2 linked regions of the Sus scrofa genome follow. The protein of the gene in region 1 purifies or fractionates together with the protein of each later gene. This does not show direct contact. Links are inferred from orthologs where the notes say so. Each region holds a gene or a part of one and is shown on either strand. Other genes may lie near its edges. The genes, in order: BLK and HSP90AB1.

Region 1 (9,851 bases):
TATTTATTTATTTTGCTTGTTTAGGGCCACACCTGCAGCAAATGGAGGTTCCCAGGCTAGGGGTCCAATCAGAGCTGTAACCGCTGGCCTACGCCACAGCCACAGCAACTCAGGATCCTTAACCCGTGGAGCAAGGCCAGGGATCGAACCCACAACCTCATGGTTCCTAGTCGGATTCACTTCTGCTGTGCCATGATGGGAACTCCTGTTAATTTTTTAAAATGAGCTTTTCTGTATTTGAATTGCAAAGTTGGTATTCTTCATGGTGTGTGGTCATTGATATCACTGTGCAGCTTTTACATTTAATATTTTACTTTGTTTTTAGTCTGGTTCCCTAAAAGCATCCCCTGTTTGTGCACTATTAATGGTCAGCCAATTACCTCGCAGGAGTTATGCTCAGAAACCTTGAACATAAACCTTCGCCTTCTGCTGCCTGAGCTGTGTGTGGTTGGAGGAGTAAATGCAAATCTACATTAAGTCCTCAGGTCTCCCTGGGCTTTCGATTTTTCTACACTCTGGTCTCCCTGACTCGTGTGTATTTTAGGAGTCAGTCAGGGACGCATGGGGTGTTTGTTATCTCAGCCCCTTCGTGGCTCTCTGACTTCCAGGGTTTCCCTCATTAACCTGCCTGGGTGACCTTTGACCCATTCTGAGCGGAGGTTACATTCTCAAGCCAGTAAAGCTGCAGATTTTCACTTGGGTCTTGAACTTGGGTCTCGATTCCATGACCTTTAACCCATAAACGGCAAGTTCTCATCACCCCATTCCAGACCAGATCTGTCACTTCCAGCTGGTGGCTGGTTTTCACAAACAGCCACCCAACAAGCCCATCATTCCCACAGGTGAAGCTGGGGTTCTTATCACCCGAGCTGAAGTGTGAGGCTGGGGGGCAGGTAGAACTTCTAAGTGAGAAGGCCACAGATTCTTGGCCATTCTGATACAGGAGCAGTTTTTCAAGATTAAACACGTCTCAATTTGTCATCTGCCTTTGGTCCTGCTCCAGTGCCTTCCAATGGTTGGTTTTGACAGCTTTATCTGGTTTTATACTTTTTTTTTTTTTTTTTTTTAGAGGGAAATCAACCAGCTTCTCACACCACCATTCCTAAGTCAGTCTTGGACTGGATTATTTTTAATGTTTCTTCTATTCAAATATTCTATTGCTCACAGTTTTGATTTTTTTTTTTTTTTCCAGAAATGTATTGATGTCAGAAGGCTGGTGAAGACGCACGGAAGGACAGCTCCGGGTTTTGCATAAGGCACCTCAAATGTGCAAAAATAAATGGGGGAGCCAGTGAAGCTGAACGCTGAGCTGGGGATTTCAGAGCCCTCACTGAGGTTCTCTAACACCAGTTTCTGCAAAGGACACCCCTGTCCTCACCTAACATGTCCTGCGGCTTCCCATCTTCTCCCCCTGGGTCCTTCCCAACCTCCCCCAGCCTATCTCCCTTTCTCATGGATTCTCTGACTCTGCCAGGGTGAAAATGGCTGCAAGGAACTTTCACTTCTGCTCAAACAAGAAACCCAAGAGCAAGGTCATTTCCTTGTTCTTTTCTGAGTGGCTGCTGGATCCATTTTTTTTTGACTTGTCTGTTGGGGGTGGACAGAAAGGTAAAGTTTCTTTTTCCTCAGATCATATGAAAGCCAGTTTACCTGAACTGCCTTCTCTGCAACCTTCTCACATCCCCTTTCACTCTAACTTTGAATATATGAGTCAGAGTCTAAGGGGAATGGATTTTTTCTGTAGAAAGGTGGAGTCCCTGCTTCCCACTGTCTTCTCTGTATCCTCAGATTCAAATGTATAAGGGCTGTTCAAAACCCACTAATTTAAGCCCCAAAGATTTACACACACACACACACACACACACACCAGGAAGTTCCTCTTGTGGCTCAGTGGTCACAAACCTGACTGTATCCATGAGAACACAGGTCAATCCCTGGCCTCACTCGGTAGGTTAAGAATCTGGCATTGCTGTGGCTGTAGCATAGGCTGGCAGCTGCAGCTCTGATTCGACCCCTAGCCTGGGACCCCTATGCCACTGGTGCAGACCTTAAAAGAAAGAAAGAAAACAAACAAAAATACATTAGGTGTAATTCAGTCCGTGTCACTGGACCCTTGGTCAGTAAAAGGGGATCTCAGCACAGGTATCTGCCTCTGAGAGTCTGAAGGATCCTTAGTGACAAGCTGTGTTCAAAGCAGTTTCCTTGGTAACGTCCCCTAATAACCCCTGATAGAGATATTGTTTCTGCCCCTGTTCCAATACTGTGCCTCATAAAGGCATCTATGGCTGCGCTTACCACACCCCATGATAGTCTTCTCTCTACCAGACCCCTTCCCAGCCTCTTTAGTCTGAGCCCCTCCAAGGACAGGCTTGCCTATTTAGAGCTGAGAGCTGTGCCCCTAGCCTCTAATGTGTGCTTACCCACAAAGCAACAATCACAAAAGTTTATTGTGTTAATTGAATTGAAATAACAAAACCGAATAATCTCCCCTCAAATCAGTAGCTTTTAAATCATAAGTTTCAGGAGTTTGGGAGTGTTTGAACTTGTATTTAAATGCTTAGGTCCAATGTAAGTCAGGTGTCAGGAAGTGAATTCAAAAATAATTAATAACACCTACGATTCACTGAGCACAGCCATGTCTGAGCACTGTTCTGAGCCCCTTGCTCTCAAGGATGTAACAAGACAAAGCAGGTTTTTTTGAAGATCAGATTTGGGACTTAGATGACATGCTCATGTCAGCAACCGGTTATTCAGAGTTTACTATGCTAAAGATTGTAATGGAAACTTTTTATACATCAACTCACTTATTCTCACAAAAGCCTTTTGGGAGAAATGAAGCAGATTGTTTCTAAGGAAGCTTAGAACCCAAGAACTCTGTTGCTGCTGTGGTTGCTAGGAACACCTGGCAAAAAGCTCTTTCTTACTAGGAATTCACAGAGCTTTATTGTCTTAGTCCTAAGCTCCAAGGAGAGAAACTCCATGGGGAAGCAGAGATTCTGGACTGTGGTCCCAGGTCAGGAGTAGAGGCAGATACAGACCTGTCTGAATTCCCTCCCCACTCCCACCATCTGTGATGTAAAGGCAGGAGAGGAGACTCTTGGTCCCCTTTGGTCCATGGGTCAGAAAGAAGCAGGTGGCCAGTGACTCACTCTGTCCAGCTGGACCAGCAAGCCTCCAGAGGTCATCTCAGCAGGCTTCTTGGACCTGCTGGTCCCTCAGCCAGTGGGACTGAGATGTTAGGGCCCTTCCCCATCACCATCGTCATTCTCTGCACCTCTGCGTTGTCACAGCTGAGTAAAGTAACATAATTGATGAGGCTCTGAGCTCAGAACTGAGGACTGGCTAGAATGCTGTAAACAACGGGGAATTAGCCAGTTCTGTGCCATCACTCACCCATTCCATTGTCTGTGCCCTTTGTACCTCACGGGCTAAGGACCATCAGGCCTATTCAGAAGACAACACAAAACCCGCGAGCCTGGGAGAAGGGCTGCCCTGCTTACGTACGTGGCACAGGCAGCAGAGGCCAAGCTCTTCCTTGGCTGGCCGACAAACATCGCAAGGCAGAGCCCAACACCTTGCAGAGTTAGCTTGGAGGTTTACTAACTCTGCCAGGCTCACTGCAGGAAAAACACCATCCTTGTTGTTGAACCCAAACCCCAATAGAAGACGTTCTGGGGGCAGCGGGGCATTGTGACGGACGTGGCCCATCCAGAGGAAGACCAGCTGCTCATGGTCCTTCTTCATAGGCTTTTCCTGGACCCAGTAAGCCCACGGAAGCTTTCAAAGGGCTTGGCGGGAGGGGCGGGGCTCCTTGGGGGCAGCTGTGACCACAGACCGGGGAGCCTGCCACCTCAGCTGGGTGCTTGCCGACGGCAGGAAGCCACGAGCCGCTGTACTAATCAAGGCGCCCGGGATGGGCTCGGCCTTCAGGATTGCTTCGGGAATCGCTGGCTGTAGCTGGAAGGTCACTGCACCGCAGGGCAGGGGGATCTGAAGAGCTATGGTGAGAGGCCACTGAATACTGCCAAGGTAAGTCGCGTCTGCCGCCCTCCTGCTGTCTCCTTTCCTCAGATGATGCAAACAGTGCCTGGAGCCTGTAGGTGGGACATCGGGCAGGAACATCGCTATGGGTGGTACCCTACAGAGAAGATGTTCCCATGAGCCCGTGTATAGATGGCTCTATTGTTTGTTCATTTCTATTTTAGAGAGTTTTTTTGATTTATAAAAGCTCATCCATCTAGGGTGAGGCTTTCTAAGCTAGTAAAGGCAGTGAAGGCGCTGCAGAGGAAAGACAGGAGGAGGCTGCGGGTGGGAGATGGGTGGGCACCTGGGGGTTCGGGACAAGTCACTTAGCCTCCCTCTAAGGCATGATATAGGATGCCACAGTGCAGAGCTGCTGGAGGCCGGCAGAGATGCATGGCAGTGTCTGGCTCAAGGTCAATGATGACTCGCTGCTTTTCTTTCATTTTTTTTTTTTTTAGTAAGATTTTCCATTTTTCAGACATGGGTGGGGTGGGGTGATGGAATAGGTTTAGCCGTGGCCTTTTTGGCTAAGAGATCTATGTAGCCAACTGTGAAAAGGCAAGAAGAGTTGATAACATATTTTAAGAGGATTTTTAAAGTTCTAGGGTTTTGACAACTTTTCCAGTTGTTTTCTAACTGGCCACTGTGTTCACCCTCAACTGCCCACACTACCAAGGACCAAAAGACTTGTTATCACTGCACTTCCGTAGTTATAGAGAAGAATCCCAAGTGATAGATGCAGGGAGCTGGAATCCCCTCAGCCTGAAAAGGATGGGTCTTAGTAGAGAGAATGGAGAGGGCAATGGTAATGCTGAGGTGGAGGATCCTGGCCACAGCGCCCCAACCACATGGTCAAGGTCAGCACCTCCACAGATCAGTCATGATGTCTTTATTGTGTGACTTTGGCTGCACAGAGCAAAGTACTTCACCTCTGTACTATTCATTCCCCAAACCCAAAATCCCAGTCAAGTCAAGAGAAAACATCAGAAAAACCCAAACTGAGGGACAGTCTACAGACTATTTGACCCTCAAAATCACCAAGGTTGTGACAAGCCAGGAAAGATGGGGAAACTGTCCAATATCAGAGGGGTATAAATAGGAAATTCACATCCAGGTTGATTGGAATCCTGGAGCAACAACAAAGTCATCAGTGGACAATAGGTGAGCTCTAGATAAAGTCTGGACATTAATGACAATCGTTGTACTGATGCGACTTTCTTAGTTTTGGCAAATGTGCCACCGTCAAGTAAGATGCCAGCATTGGGGGAAGCTGGGTGAAGGATGTGCAAGCAGTCTCTATCTTATCTTTGTAATTTTTCTGTAAGCCTAAAATTATTCCAAAGTAAAAAGCTAAAAAACAAACAAACTATGCTCATCCTGCCTTGCATCAAAAATGGTCAAAGCCTGAGCATACTTAGAAAAACTGGCATCCTGGGCCCCACTTTCTCTTTGAACATTCTGGAACACAGCAGTTCTGGCTTTTTTTTTTTTTTTTTTTTTTTTACCATTCTCTCTCCCAGCCCTCACCTTATTCCCAGAAAGCTCTATGCTTTCCTCTCTTCTGTTACTTCTGAAATTTATTTTTCTCACTCTGTGTCAGGGGGTTTAGGGCCAAGGACCCCATCTCGGTCTCCGGGCGGGGCTCACTGCGTGGGACCAGGCTCTTGTGCCTCAAGCTAGCGCTGAGCCCGACCCCTCCCCAGTGAGGAAGCGAGCGCTGAGCGTGGAGGCCGGTCAGTGTCCAGCCCCTGCGTGACATATCCAGATGGAATCTGCAGTGCTCTGGGCTCAGCCATCCGCAGAATGTGTGCTGTGCTGTGAGCTGTGCTAGAAAACTCCCTCGTGAGCGATGCTGTGGCTTAAGGGATATAGAGTAGGACGGGAACCCTGAGAGCCAGCTCCTGCTTGGGTGACAACCTGGCCTCTGAGCACCAACCCCCCTCCCACTCCCTCACCGGCCTGCCTAGAACCTGCAGTAGCAAGATGCAACCACCAGGGGCAGCATCCTTCCTTGTAAGGATGTTTGGGGAGATACTGGAAGACAGAGAAGCCCGACCCCCGCCCATAAGAGACACAGACACACACACACACACACACACACACACACACACACACACACACGAGCGCGCGCGCGCGCGCGCCCGGCAGAGCAGGTGTGCTCTTGTTCAAAGGCGATGTCTCAGCGAGATTAGAGAAACGCTTCCGAAGCAAGCAAGAAAGAAGAAAGAATTATGAAGCTGTGGGGAGATAGTGTTTAGATGAAAATCATAACACTTAGATGAAGATCAAAACTGAAAAGTGTTGATTACCACTGGGCCTAAAGTCCCTTTCCTGTCGCATCTCCTGCTCCCCCACTTCTTCGGGAACGCACCTGCTGTGCACCTGCTTGTCCCTCTGCCTGGGCTCCCTCCCCCTTCTCTCACCCAGGCAAGTCCCACTGGCCTGATTCTTGGGATCCGTGCCAACATCTTCTCCTCTGTCAGCAGTGCCCAAACCCCTCCCTGTGTCTACATGGCCTCCAGGATAGGCTTAGGGCTATTTGCTTGCGGTTCTGCTGCCCCTCTGGACCTGAGCTTCTCCAGGATAGGGATAAGCCCCTCCCTCCGTCCAACTCTCGGTCCCAGCACCCAGAACACTGCCTGCCACAGGGTGGGCACCCTGTGAAATGGTTCTTGAATGAAAGAAATAAGGACACACTTGTGAACACAAATGAAGGTCAAGACACGAGGAGGAAAGCTTGAAGGAGAAAAAGCGTGTGAGATTTCCCATTACCTTTGCCATACTGAGCTCCAAGGCCATTGCCACACTGGAGTTTTAATGGAGGGCGGCGGTGGGGGGGGGGGGTCCTGCAGAAAGAGATGGGGTGAACTAGGTTTCTGGCATGTTATGCTCCTGCCAGAGGAGGGCGCTGGGCTTCAGGGCCAGCCAGTTCCACACCTAGACCTGGCTCTGCCACTTGCCGTCTGAGGAGCTGGGGGAGTGTGAGCAAATGGTCCAGCTCTCTGTGAAGTGGGAACAGTTGCACCCAGCTCCAGGCACAGAGTGAGAGCTACACTGAGCAAGGTGATTGGAGTACAGAGGCTCTATCCCCATCCCTGCTGTCCCTGAGAGGCCTGGACTCCCCATCGGCTGCTGTGTAGCTCACAGGTGCTCCCTCACCCAAGGGGTGATGCTTCCGAAACCATGGAGGTAGAAAGCGGTTCTCTGAGTGCTTGTCACCACCACTCTGCTGCCTCTTTGCACACCTTGTTACCTGGGTTGCTGCTCTGGGACCAGGGTGAGGCAGGTGAGGCTCTGGGGCTGCAGAATTTAAAGAGCTGCTCCCACTCAAGGTCACCTATGTGCAGGGGATGGCCGCGTGTGTTCACTTGTGTATACACAGGTACGAGGCGATAAGTGCTAAGTGGATTAAATCAGGTGTTCTGACTTTGAGGTCATAGACTCCTGATAAGTGTCATGGGGTCTATGACTCTCTGAACTTGTATGCAAGTTTTTGTGGACACGTGCGTTCTGCCATAAAGGGCGTTTATGGCTTTGGTCAGATTCCCCAAAGGATCTGCTCACCCCAAAATATTTGGAATCCCCAAGTTCAGTATTTAGGAAGGATACTTTGTCTCTCGCTGTGCTGTAGGTACGAGAAGTTGGAGGCACAGGAGAAAGACAAGTAGCCGTGCCTGAGAGGTGAGGTGCCTCAGCTTACAGAATGGAGGGCCTAAGTTCAAGGCCCTGTCCTGCCGCTTCTGGACTTTGGATTTCAGTCACTAATTTTCTTCCTGAAATAACAGTTGTTTGACCTCAGTCTATATTGGTGTCCTTACCTACCTCAGAAATGACATATACTCTCTAGGCTCATTTCTCTATTTGTTGATAATAGCACATCACAGTGTCATAAGAATTACGCCCCAAAGCCCTAATTCTTTGATGAGTTGAAACTGAAGAGGACACAGTATTTCCATCTAGGTTCTGATCAATTCTCCACGTAAGAGGAGTACTTGTAATGGGAAAAGGCACATTTCACACTGTAACATCTTAGATTTACTTATAGGCACAGTATTTATGTCTTGAAATCTCGAAAAGCGACAGTGCGATTTCGTTTCTCAAAAGAGGAAATGGGTTTGTAATAAGATCGAGAGACAAGAATCTAGGTATTTGAGATGCTCCCCAGGGTGTGAGAGCTGCATGTCTGGATCTCAGGGCTGGGGCGTTCAGGGAATAGCGCTGTGAATCAGACCTAGGCCCCCTTCTTGGAGAGGACGAGCTGTGCTCGGCGGATGCTCAAGGCTCCTGGAAGGAACAAGGAAGGACCTGGCGTCACTGCTGCGATGCTATTGAGACCCCACCCCCACCTCTGCCGCCCACCATAGGCCTCAGAACACCTAAAAGGAGCCACGGGAGAATTACTCTCAGACTTCAGACCTGGGAAACCCACTGAGCAACCGATACCAGCTCTTCCAATTGATCACTTCTCTCCCGTGACTTCAGACTCTAAGACACTTTGAGCCAAATTTGCATCTAGCCACGAACAGTTAAGTAGCCCCATCTCAGGGTCTGTATTTCTGTGTACCAGCCTTACTGCCAAATTTGCTTTCCTGCCCTAACCTATCCTTTGCTCTGATTTCTTCATCTATTTTTCTCTCATATTTATGTATTTATTTCATATTTATTTATTTATTTATTTTACATTTAAAAAATTAAAGTATGGTTGATTTACAATGTTGTGCTAATTTCTTCTGGACAGCAAAATGACCTATATATATATATATACACACACATTCCCTTTCTTGTATAATCTTCCATCATATCCCAAGAGATTGAATATAGTTTGCTGTGTTGTACTGCAGGACCTCATGGATTATCCATTCTAAATGTAATAGTTCACCTATTTATTTTTGTAAGTGGCCTCAAATCTTTTTGGAAATATCAGGAAATAAATAAACATGAAAACAAAAACAGGACAGGAGTTCCCGCTGTGGCTCAGTGGGTTAAGAACCTGATTAGTATCCATGAGGATGTGGGTTTGATCCTTGGCCTTGCTCAGTGGGTTAAGGATCTGGCATTGCTGCAAGCTGCAGTGTAGGTAGCAGATGTGACTCAGGTCCAGTGTTGCTGTGGCTATAGTGTAGGCTGGCAGCTGCAGCTCCAATTCGACCCTGGCCTGGGAACTTCCATATGCTGCAGGTGCAGCCCTAAAAGTAAAAATAAAAATGAAAAAACAGGACAGAGTTTTGGAAAGAACTTGATGCATGGTGAGGTTGAGCAAAAAGAATTATCTCCCCTTCTGTGTACAGAACATAGAACCATTCTTAATTTTTTTACCAAGAGGACCAATCTATGGTAAAATATTCAGCTGAGAGTCTATTACAGTGAGACAAAAAGCCTAATTGTTTATTTTTACAGTTATTCCACCTTATACTCTTCCAAAGATTACATAAAATTATTTTATATAAATATAAAATTTTTATATTTTATACTTGTAGAATTTGTATATGATTTATATAACTGTATTTACATAATTTATATAATTATATTAATTTATTTAACTTATATAATTTTATATAAATATAAAATTATTTCATGGTAAGATTCTTTTTATTCCTACCATTTCTAAAGTACAATGAGGCTTTAAAAAATAAATTCTTTTTTTTTTTTTTAAAGTGTTGCACTTCACTGGGAACTACATCTAGTCACTTATGATGGAGCATGATAATGTGAGAAAAAGGAATGTATATGTGTATGTGTGACTGGGTCACCTGGCTGTACAGTAAAAAATTGACAGAACACTGTAAACCAGCTATGATGGAAAAAAATAAAAATCATTAAATAAAAAA
Region 2 (10,193 bases), on another chromosome or scaffold:
TTTGTTCTTGGCCATGGCATGCAGTGGCTTGATGTGAGATCGCAGTTCCCAGACCAGGCATCGAACCTGAGCCACAGAAGTGCAAGCACCAAGTCTAGACCACTAGGGAACTCCCTGATATGGATATTAAAGAACAGGTTACCAGGAGTTCCCGTTGTGGCACAGTGGAAATGAATCCGACTAGGAACCATGAGGTTGTGGGTTCCATCCCTGGCCTCACTCAGTGGGTTAATGATCCAGTGTTGCCGTGAGCTGTGGTGTAGGTTGCAGACGCAGCTCAGATGTGATGTTGCTGTGGCTGTGGTGTATGCCGGCAGCTATAGCTCCCATAGACCCCTAGCCTGGGAACCTCCATATGCCACAGGTGTGGCCCTAAAAAGACCAAAAAATTTTTTTTAATTAAAAAAAAAAAGAAAAGGCATACAGTGCCTCTTCCACCCCTGTGTGAGCCCCCCCGCTTCAGCCTCACCCTTCTGCAAGCTGTATCCCTGGGAGTTTTCAAGTGTTTTGTTTGTTTTACAGTGTTTTTTTCCCTACTTCATACAGCTGTACCCATGACATATGGAGATTCCCAGGCTAGGGGTTGAATCAGAGCTGCGGTTGCTGGCCTACACTACAGCCACAGCAATGCCAGATCCAAGTCACATCTCCGACCTACACTGCAGCTTGCAGCAACGCCGGATCTTTAACCCACTGAGCAAGGCCAGGGATCAAACCCATGTCCTCGTGGACACCACATTATGTTCTTAATCCACTGAGCCACAACAGGAAGTCCTCCGAGGTTTGCTTTTTTTTTTTTTTTTTTTTTTTTTGCTTTTTAGGGCTGCACCGTCAGCATATGAAAGTTCCCAGGCTAGGGGTCCAGTTGTAGCTACAGCTGCCAGTCTACACCACAGCCACAGCAACGGGGGATCTGAGCCGCGCCTGCAACCTATACCATAGCTCATGGCAATGTCAGATCCTTAACCCACTAATGCCAGGGATTGAACCCGCATCCTCATGGATCCTAGTCGGGTTCGTTAACTGCTGAGCCACCAAGGGAACTTTTTTTTAAGTGTTTTATTTTGTTTGTTTGTTTGGAACAACACAATTAACTGGCTTGATTTAATAGATTTAACATATTTAGCATATCCAACAACTAGATAATATATTTTTTCTCAAACATTCATGGAGCTTTTATAAATTTTTTGTTGTTGTTGTTGTTGTTGTTGTTGTTGTTGTTGTTGGTATTTCTTGGGCCGCTCCCTCGGCATATGGAGGTTCCCAGGCTAGGGGTCCAATCGGAGCTGTAGCCACCGGCCTACGCCAGAGCCACAGCAACGCGGGATCCGAGCCGCGTCTGCAACCTACACCACAGCTCACGGCAACGCCGGATCGTTAACCCACTGAGCAAGGGCAGGGACCGAACCCGCAACCTCATGGTTCCTAGTCGGATTCGTTAACCACTGCGCCACGACGGGAACTCCAGCTTTTATAAATATTAACCAATTCTAGGTTACAAACGAAGTCTCAGATACAAGAGATAAGTATCATACACACTATTGTATACCTACAACATAATGGAAGGATAATGAAGCAATTTAATATTTTAAACACTTTAAAATTGATCAACAAAGATACCATAAAAGGAACCCAAATCCTTAAAATGGAATTATAATAAAAATACTATATACTGAAACTTGGAGGGCAGCTAAAATTTTTCTTGACAAGAAATTTATGGCCTTAAATCCTTATGCCAGAAAAGGGAAAAGCTGAAATTTAACGTGCTGAGTGTTAAAGTTAAGAAAATAGAAAAAGATGGTGTTCCCACTGTGGCACAGCGTTAACCCATTGGTGTGTTTTTGGTGCCTTGGGTTTGATCCCTGGCCAGGCACAGTAGGTTAAAGGAGCCAGTGTTGCCATGGCTGTGGCATAGGTCACAGCTTGGATTCAGTCCCTGGCAAGGGAACTTCCATATGCTGAGGGTGTAGCCATGATGTGTGTGTGTGTGTGTGTGTGTGTGTGTGTGTAATGTCACAATTCCCCATCCCAATATGAAACTAGCCAAAGATAACATGTAAACAAATGAGCTGAGCATAGCTGTGTTTCAGTAAAACTTTGCAAACACAACTCAAAGTTCATATAATTTTCACCTGCCAAAAATATCTTTTGATTATTTTCAACCATTAAAGAGAGGAAAAAGTGGAGTTTCTGTTGTGGCTCAGCAGTAATGAACCCAACTAGTATCCATGAGGATGTAGGTTCCATCCCTGGCCTTGCTCAGTGGGTTAAGGATCTTGTGCTGCCTTGAGCTGCGGCATAAGTCACAGATGTGGCTTGTGTTTGGTGTTGCTGTGGCTGTGGTGTTGGCTGGCAGCTGCAGCTCCGATTCGACCCCTAGCCTAGGAACTTCCATACGCTGCAGGTTCAGCCCTAAAAAGCAAAAAAAAAAAAAAAAAAAAAAAAAAAAAAAGGAAAAAAGGAAAAAGCATTCTACTTTTTTTTTTTTTTTTTTTTTTTTGTCTTTTTGCCATTTCTTGGGCCGCTCCCAGGGCATATGGAGGTTCCCAGGCTAGGGGTCGAATCGGAGCTGTAGCCACAGGCCTACGCCAGAGCCACAGCAACGCAGGATCCGAGCCGCGTCTGCAACCTACACCACAGCTCACGGCAACGCCAGATCGTTAACCCACTGAGCAAGGGCACGGATCGAACCCGCAACCTCATGGTTCTTAGTCGGATTCGTTAACCACTGCGCCACGACGGGAACTCCGGAAAAAGCATTCTTATCCATTAGCCACATGAAAACAAATGCCCCCAGCTGCAGACTACAGTTTGTGAGTGCTGCTTCTTCTGGCCACTCTCCAACAGCAGGTTGGGCTGGGTCTTTGAAGCTTGGTTGGGAAAAGGGTATCTTAGGAACATAAAGGATTGCAAGTGATGCTGGGAATAGGCCTCTGGAGATCCAGGGGGTTTAAGCCATCTTTAATAGCCCTCAGTGGCTTCCCTCATCCTAAGTTAAAGTCAGAACTGCTTAGCATGGCATTGTGGCCCTCTGTGACCTGACCTGGGAATGTGGGGCCACTTTCAGTCCCTGCCTCCCTGAGGTTCCTCTCTCAGTGCTGTGCCTTTCCATGCTTTTCCTCTGCTGGGAGTAGACCTGTGCCCCCGGGCCTGGCTAGCCCCGAGCCCGCCCTCTTCCCCAGGCCGTGCTGGGAAACTGATGCGTCTCCCAGGCTTCACACTTGGTCTGCTGCAGCTCCCCCCAGTGGGCTGAGGGTGCCTTGTCCTGTTTATGCATCTCTGCTTCCCCAGGCAAAGCTCACAGTGGGGGCTGAGTGAGTGTCAAAGAGCTGGAGAAACCATCCTGGAAGACTCCCAGAAGAGAAGGTAGGATTTCTGTGCTGGTGTAAGAGATTTGAGATTTTTCCCATTAGAACCCCCCCTGAGGAGTTCTGGTCCTGACAGGAGTGATTCTTGCTCCACCCTGGGCTTGGGTCCTGGGAGGGGAACCCGTCCCCACACCGTTTCTGGAGCAGGGAGCAAGGGCGTTAGGGGAGCATAGGCTCCGAGGTGACCCACCCTGCGGTACTCCCTGAAGCCTTCCTCTCCCGGTTCCTAGAACGCACAGACTCACTTTTACCCCTTCAGGCGGCAGGGGACAGTGAGCTGTGAATGCTCTATGTGAACCAGAGAGCAGGTGTTTGATTAGCTAGGCCCCTTCTGCCCAGAGGGAGGGAGGGTGTGTTGGGGGACGATGCTCCCCGTTTCCATCTTGGAACAGAGCATCCTGGGGCGTTCCTAGCAGCAGCACTCAGGCCCCTTCCCACATTCCTTGAGTTCTCCCAGCCACCGGCTTCTTCTAGACCAGAAGAGCAGTGGAAGAGTAAGGAGAGATGAAATCATGAAATCGGGGTAGGGGTGGCACGGGTGATGAAGTCAGGAGTGTGGGGCAAGGAAAAGGAACGCGAGGGTCCTTTGTTCTTTGGAGTTCAACAGCTGGACAAAGAAGTGCTACAAGACTGCACACCAGGGCTGCCGAGGGAGGTCTGCGGGTCGGAGGTATCCCTCTCCCAAGCATTCCAGGGGCGGACAAAGTGGGCCACGAAGGGAGTTGAGGGAGTTGCTGGGCATCCACAAGGTCACGGCGCAGGGAGCGGTCATTCTCTCCCGGAGGGGCTGTGGGGCGGGTGAGCTCCAGAGATGAGGCCTTGGAAAGGCGAGGACAGCGTACCCGCCCCGAAGGCAAGCAAAAGCGGCAGGGCCAGGCGAGGCAGCTGGGCCGGCGCTTGGCTTGGGGGCTCCGGCGCCGCAGCAGCTGAAGGGGAACAACCTGGTTCTGCCCGCCAGGAGCGAGCAGCCCTTTGGCCAGCATGAAGGCGCTGGTGTCTTCATGCCACCTCCTAGAACCCCCGCCACCCAGCGGGGGTCCCTGGAGATCCTCCCCTCCCCAGACCTAGACAGTTGCAGGAGGGGAAAGAATTTTTGTAAAAAGAAAAGGAAACCAGATTGTATGTGCATGCCCCTGCGTGCGACACGCGTGGGCGGCTGCAGAGGCTGGGGAGGGTTTCTCAGGTAGCGACGCCACCCTCAGTCTCGGCTCCGAAGGCGGTTCTCGCAGAGCCGCCCCAATAACCCGTGTGCTGTGTGACTGACGGGGGAGAAAGGGGGGATCATCCCTGTTCCACCCCACCCTGGACGCAATGCTGAGCGAGCTGGGTCTGGCGGGTGGCGAAGAGGGTGCCGGGTGTAGTTGCCCGCCAGCAACATAGGATCGAAGTTGCCCACCTCTCCCGGAGATTCAAGCATAACGTTGGAGAGGCGGAGCCGCCGCAGAGGCACAGCCCAGTCCGCAGAAAAAGGGGTGGAGCCCCAAGGGAAGAGGGCGGGGCGGGGCGGGACAGGACCGTAGAGGCGGATCTGGAAACTGCTGGAAGATCGCAGCACCGCCACTGTCGCTCCTTCCGCCGCTTGCAGACAAAGAGTGCCCTCCACACCCGAGCCGGCGACCTTCTAGCAGCGGAAGCCACGCCCCGCAGCGAGACGCTGGCACTGCCCATTGTCCCCTGGGAGTGCCAGGGTTCGCGGGCTGCCCAAAGTTCGGCTTCAAATTCCCCAGTGTCCCCGGAAAGGACCCTTTCCCCTTATTGGGCAGTAGGAATGTGTAAGGAAGATTGTAGCAGGGAGGGAGCATAGGTGGGAGTAGTTGGTCCCCTTTCAGGTGTTCCTCTGGGATTCTTTGGTGTGGAGGCACCTGCTCTACAGGTTTTTACTGAGGTCAGCGGGGATTCTGTTCCCTAGAGCCACGGCATTTGTCCTATGAGTATACCCAACATCTAGCTCTGGTGGTGTCCTGTCTTCAGGACGCGGAGATGGGACTAAGAAAAAGTCTACACATGCGCGCCCTTGCTCTTCACCGCCCCCTCCCCTATTTTGGACCATGACGTAAAGGTGGGCGGGCAGCGGCAGGTGCGGGGCTGACAGACAGCCTCCTTTAAGGCGGAGGGATCTGGGGGCGGGCAGCGAAGGTGTGCTTCGCCTTATATAAAGCGACTGGGGTCTCACAGCCGTTCTCTTGAGTCACCCCCCGCGCAGCCTTGTTCTGGCGTGAGAGCCGGAGGCAGTCCTTCCCCGCTCAGCTTTGTGGTGTTTGTGATCCTTATCCTTTAAGGTAAGGTTGCACTCTTAAGGCATTTCTGGTTAAATTTCAGGTTGCTTTCGTCCATTCTGTCCTTTCTGAGACCCAAGTTTTTGTCGTGCTGGGGCGGTTTGCTGGACAACGCTCCCAATTTTTTTAGAGGGTGGGTGGAAGGGAGCTCTCGAGTTTAGCTTTTCCTTCCATGCTTGGTGTCGGGCCTTCTAGGCGGCTGTTAGGCCTGGGCGAGTGGGGCTGGGGGACTGGGCGGCTACACGTGGTAGCCGCGCCGGCCCGGGACGCTGCCATGTTTGCCCCTCTACTTCCGGACGCGACTACGGGGCGCCAGAGGGTGGGCAAGGTTGGTGGGTGTGCGGGCCCGGTGTGACTCAGCACAGCATGGTTCTGGGTAGGTTTTGCCATCTCTTTTATAGAAGGGAGTTTTTCTAGTCCTTAGTGTGAGGGTTTGCGGCAAAGGATGCTTTGGAGCTCCAGTGGCCCATCGTGCTTCCTGCTTCGAGCTCATTCCTGCAGTCAGGGTGGAGGGGTAGCGGAGGAGGCAGGCTTGAGAATTTATGGGAGCATTTCTTCGTCGTCCTCTTTTCTCCCCGTTGGCTGGAATTGTTCTGGAAGGTTCTGGAACTCGGCGCCCCGCCCTGGTGCCCGGATGCTGAGGCGAAGGGAGGCTGCGCGGTGGCGCCCCCTCCTCGCGTGGTCCTGGCCGACGCATGTCCGGCATCGACGAGCGTCGGCCCCGCGGACTACGCCACCATCTTAGTTGTATTTGGTTTGGTCCTGTACCTCAGTCACGTGTGCTACAGGGACAGAGTGGAGCCTTTTGCTTTATCGGTTCTTTGTCTTAATGGCATCCCAAGTGGGTATCCCACGATTCTCTCGCGTTAGCCTCCCTTACCACGTGAGGTAGCAATTTCACATCTTCCTGGAGGTGAAGGGAGAGCAGTTTCAAATGATAGCCCCTTTAAGGTAAAACTGGTCTGTTTGGGGGGGGGGCTCCCTCCCCTCCACCAGAAATGGTAGAACCGTAGTTACTAATTTGTACATTTGAATATGTATGTAGGTCTTCTGCTTATTCACATTTAAGAAACCGGGGTTGGGCGAGGTACTCTGCATGCCTAAGAGATTACCAGGTGATGAGAGGCTGCTGATCCGTGGATGGATCGCCTAACATCCTAACAAAATGCTTAAGAGACCTTAAGGCATTTTGGGGGCTGTATTAGCAGCCCCCCCCCCCCCCGCCCCTCTTATTCTCAGACTGAGGGCGCAGCCTGAAGTCTTTAAAGGAAAGGTCTTGCATCTCAGTACTCGGTTCAGAACAACTTGAACTGAACCTCTTAGTGTCTTTATTGTAATTGGGGTGAACTTGAGTCCAAAGTTCTTCATCTCTCTTATTTTAGATGCCTGAGGAAGTGCACCATGGCGAGGAGGAAGTGGAGACTTTTGCCTTCCAGGCAGAAATCGCCCAGCTCATGTCTCTCATCATCAATACCTTTTATTCCAACAAGGAGATTTTTCTTCGGGAGTTGATCAGTAATGCTTCTGATGTGAGTTCCCTGAGCGTCTTCATTGGCATTTGTTTGTTTCTCGAGTACTTCAAAGAAGGAGAGGGGTGATTGGGCATTTTGTGGGTTTTATTTTTGAAGGGAATATAAACTTCAATTCTAAAAAGGTTTTGCCTTGCTTTATGTGGATAGATGGCGTACTCTAACTGGATGTACGTCTCAAGCTTCAAATGAAAGGGGTTATCAGAAATGAGGTTATCTGGGAGTAGGAAAAAACTTTTTCTATTGGATGAGGTGGAAGCAGAATTGTAAAACTGCAATTTGTATTTTCAGGCCTTGGACAAGATTCGCTATGAGAGCCTGACAGACCCTTCCAAATTGGACAGTGGTAAAGAGCTGAAAATTGACATCATCCCCAACCCCCAGGAGCGCACCCTGACTCTGGTAGACACAGGCATTGGCATGACCAAAGCTGATCTCATAAATAATTTGGGAACCATTGCCAAGTCTGGTACTAAAGCATTTATGGAGGCTCTTCAGGTATGTGGTATTTCAGCTAGGCATGCACCATTCATATTCATTGATGTTTAGTTTGCTGTTTCTTCAAAACTTGTGTTTGACTTTTTAAAACTTTTTGGTAGGCTGGTGCAGACATCTCCATGATTGGACAGTTTGGTGTTGGCTTCTATTCTGCCTACCTGGTGGCAGAGAAAGTGGTTGTGATCACAAAGCACAATGATGATGAACAGTATGCCTGGGAGTCTTCTGCTGGGGGCTCCTTCACAGTTCGTGCTGACCATGGTAGGCTGATTTTCCTGTTGGGTGTCGGGGATAGAATTCTGAGGGAACAGTGGTAAAGATCTTGAGCATTCTAATGGTGAGACATTGGTCTTTGTTGTTCAGCACTTAGTTTTCTTTTTCACTCCGTTTTGATTGACTTTCTAGGTGAGCCCATTGGCCGAGGTACCAAGGTCATTCTGCATCTTAAGGAGGACCAGACAGAATACTTAGAAGAGAGACGGGTGAAAGAGGTGGTAAAGAAGCACTCACAGTTCATAGGTTATCCCATCACACTTTATGTGAGTATGAACTGGTAACTCAATTGTCTGCTGCAGGAGACACTTGGTTTTTTATTTTCTGTAGTCTGAAATTTTCATCTTTGATACTTGCAGCTGGAGAAGGAACGTGAGAAAGAAATCAGTGATGATGAGGCAGAGGAAGAGAAAGGTGATAAAGAGGAGGAAGATAAAGATGATGAGGAGAAGCCCAAGATTGAAGATGTGGGCTCAGATGAGGAGGATGATAGTGGCAAAGATAAGAAAAAGAAGACAAAAAAGATCAAGGAGAAGTATATTGATCAGGAAGAACTGAACAAGACCAAGCCCATCTGGACCAGGAACCCTGATGACATCACCCAGGAGGAATATGGAGAGTTCTACAAAAGCCTGACCAATGACTGGGAAGATCACCTGGCAGTCAAGGTAAGAAGCCTTGTTTGTTGGCGCAATAGGAAGAGTTGGTAATGGGCAAGTGGCACTTGCCCAACTGATTGGGAACTGGGAATGCCATGAGTTCACCTACTGATGGACCCTTCCAGGGCAGGGGAATGACATCTCCAGGGACTTCACTGTGTCTCTGGCAGCTTTGCCCATCTAGCATTCTGAATTGGCTATTTCCTCGTTAACACAAGGATTATGTACAGGTTGCACTATGTTGGATTCATTTAGGGCATTATTAGGGCTTCTCAACAGCTACCATAGAGTCTAGTCTATTCCTGGTGCTTAAGGGGGAAGGTCTTTTTTTCCAAATAGTTTTTTTTTTTTTTAAATAACTTAATTTTTTTGTTTTTTAAGGGCCGCACCCACGGCATATGGAGGTTCCCAGCCTAGGAGTCTAATCAGAGCTACAGCTGCCAGCCTACACCACAGCAACCCTAGATCCAAGCCACATCTGTGACCTATACCACAGCTCATGGCAACCCTCGGTCCTCGACCCACTGAGCAAGGCCAGGGATTGAACATGCGACCTTAGGGTTTCCTCATCAAATTCATTTCCGCTGCGCCACGACGGGAACTCCCCAAATAGTTTAATTTGGTGTTGGGACAAAAGCCACTCTTAAAATACACAGTTGGCTTATCTTGGATTTCTCTCACAGCACTTCTCTGTAGAAGGTCAGTTGGAATTCAGAGCATTGCTGTTCATCCCCCGTCGGGCTCCTTTTGACCTCTTTGAGAACAAAAAGAAAAAGAACAACATCAAACTTTACGTTCGCCGTGTGTTCATCATGGACAGCTGCGATGAGCTGATACCAGAGTACCTCAGTGAGTACCTTCTCTGCCTAATGTAGTTGGTCTCAGCTTTCTCAAAGGAACTGAAGCCTTGATTTTTTTTTTTTTTTTTTTTTTTTTTTTTCTTCTGGGCCACACCTGCAGGATATGGAGAGGTTCCCAGGCTAGGGGTCAAATCAGAGCTATAACTGCTAGCCCACACCACAGCCATAGTAACGCAGGGTCCGAGCTGAGTCTGCGACCTACACCACAGCTTACAGTAACGCCAGATCCTTAACCAACTGAGCGAGGCCAGCGATTGAACCTGCAACCTCATGGTTCCTAGTCAGATTCATTTCCACTGCGCCATGATGGGGAACTCTGATGAAGCCTTTGTTCTGAAGCTAAGGGTCCTCTGCCGTGTAACTGGTGCAGCTGGATGGCGGTGTATACTTTTTTGTTTTTGTAGGGGGGGTGTCTAACTGAGCATCCATGTTTGATTTCAGACTTCATCCGCGGTGTGGTTGACTCTGAAGACCTTCCCCTGAACATCTCCCGAGAAATGCTCCAGCAGAGCAAGATTTTGAAGGTCATTCGTAAAAACATTGTTAAGAAGTGCCTGGAGCTCTTCTCTGAGCTGGCAGAAGACAAGGAGAACTACAAGAAATTCTACGAGGCTTTCTCAAAAAATCTAAAGGTAAGCAGACAGCAAATGCTTGCTTTTTTAATGATGAAGATGGCTGTTTTTCATTCATGTAGGGGATAATTATTTTCTAGTAAGACTTTCCCTTTCCA

The links.
Region 2: the proteins of BLK (region 1) and HSP90AB1 purify together in Homo sapiens (affinity purification with mass spectrometry; 3 studies listed by BioGRID and IntAct, with this or other methods). This does not show direct contact. The link is inferred for Sus scrofa from reciprocal best matches to the Homo sapiens genes BLK and HSP90AB1.

Annotation. Positions count from the first base shown.
Region 1 is NC_010456.5:14,685,095-14,694,945, forward strand, and holds the start of BLK (tyrosine-protein kinase Blk), read left to right. Parts: upstream 1-3,394; 5' UTR 3,395-4,029; intron 4,030-9,851. UniProt on the Homo sapiens protein: Non-receptor tyrosine kinase involved in B-lymphocyte development, differentiation and signaling. B-cell receptor (BCR) signaling requires a tight regulation of several protein tyrosine kinases and phosphatases, and associated coreceptors.
Region 2 is NC_010449.5:39,238,369-39,248,561, forward strand, and holds the start of HSP90AB1 (heat shock protein HSP 90-beta), read left to right. Parts: upstream 1-5,405; 5' UTR 5,406-5,647; intron 5,648-7,026; coding exon 7,027-7,173; intron 7,174-7,464; coding exon 7,465-7,671; intron 7,672-7,772; coding exon 7,773-7,932; intron 7,933-8,076; coding exon 8,077-8,210; intron 8,211-8,303; coding exon 8,304-8,612; intron 8,613-9,286; coding exon 9,287-9,452; intron 9,453-9,904; coding exon 9,905-10,095; intron 10,096-10,193. UniProt on the Homo sapiens protein: Molecular chaperone that promotes the maturation, structural maintenance and proper regulation of specific target proteins involved for instance in cell cycle control and signal transduction. Undergoes a functional cycle linked to its ATPase activity.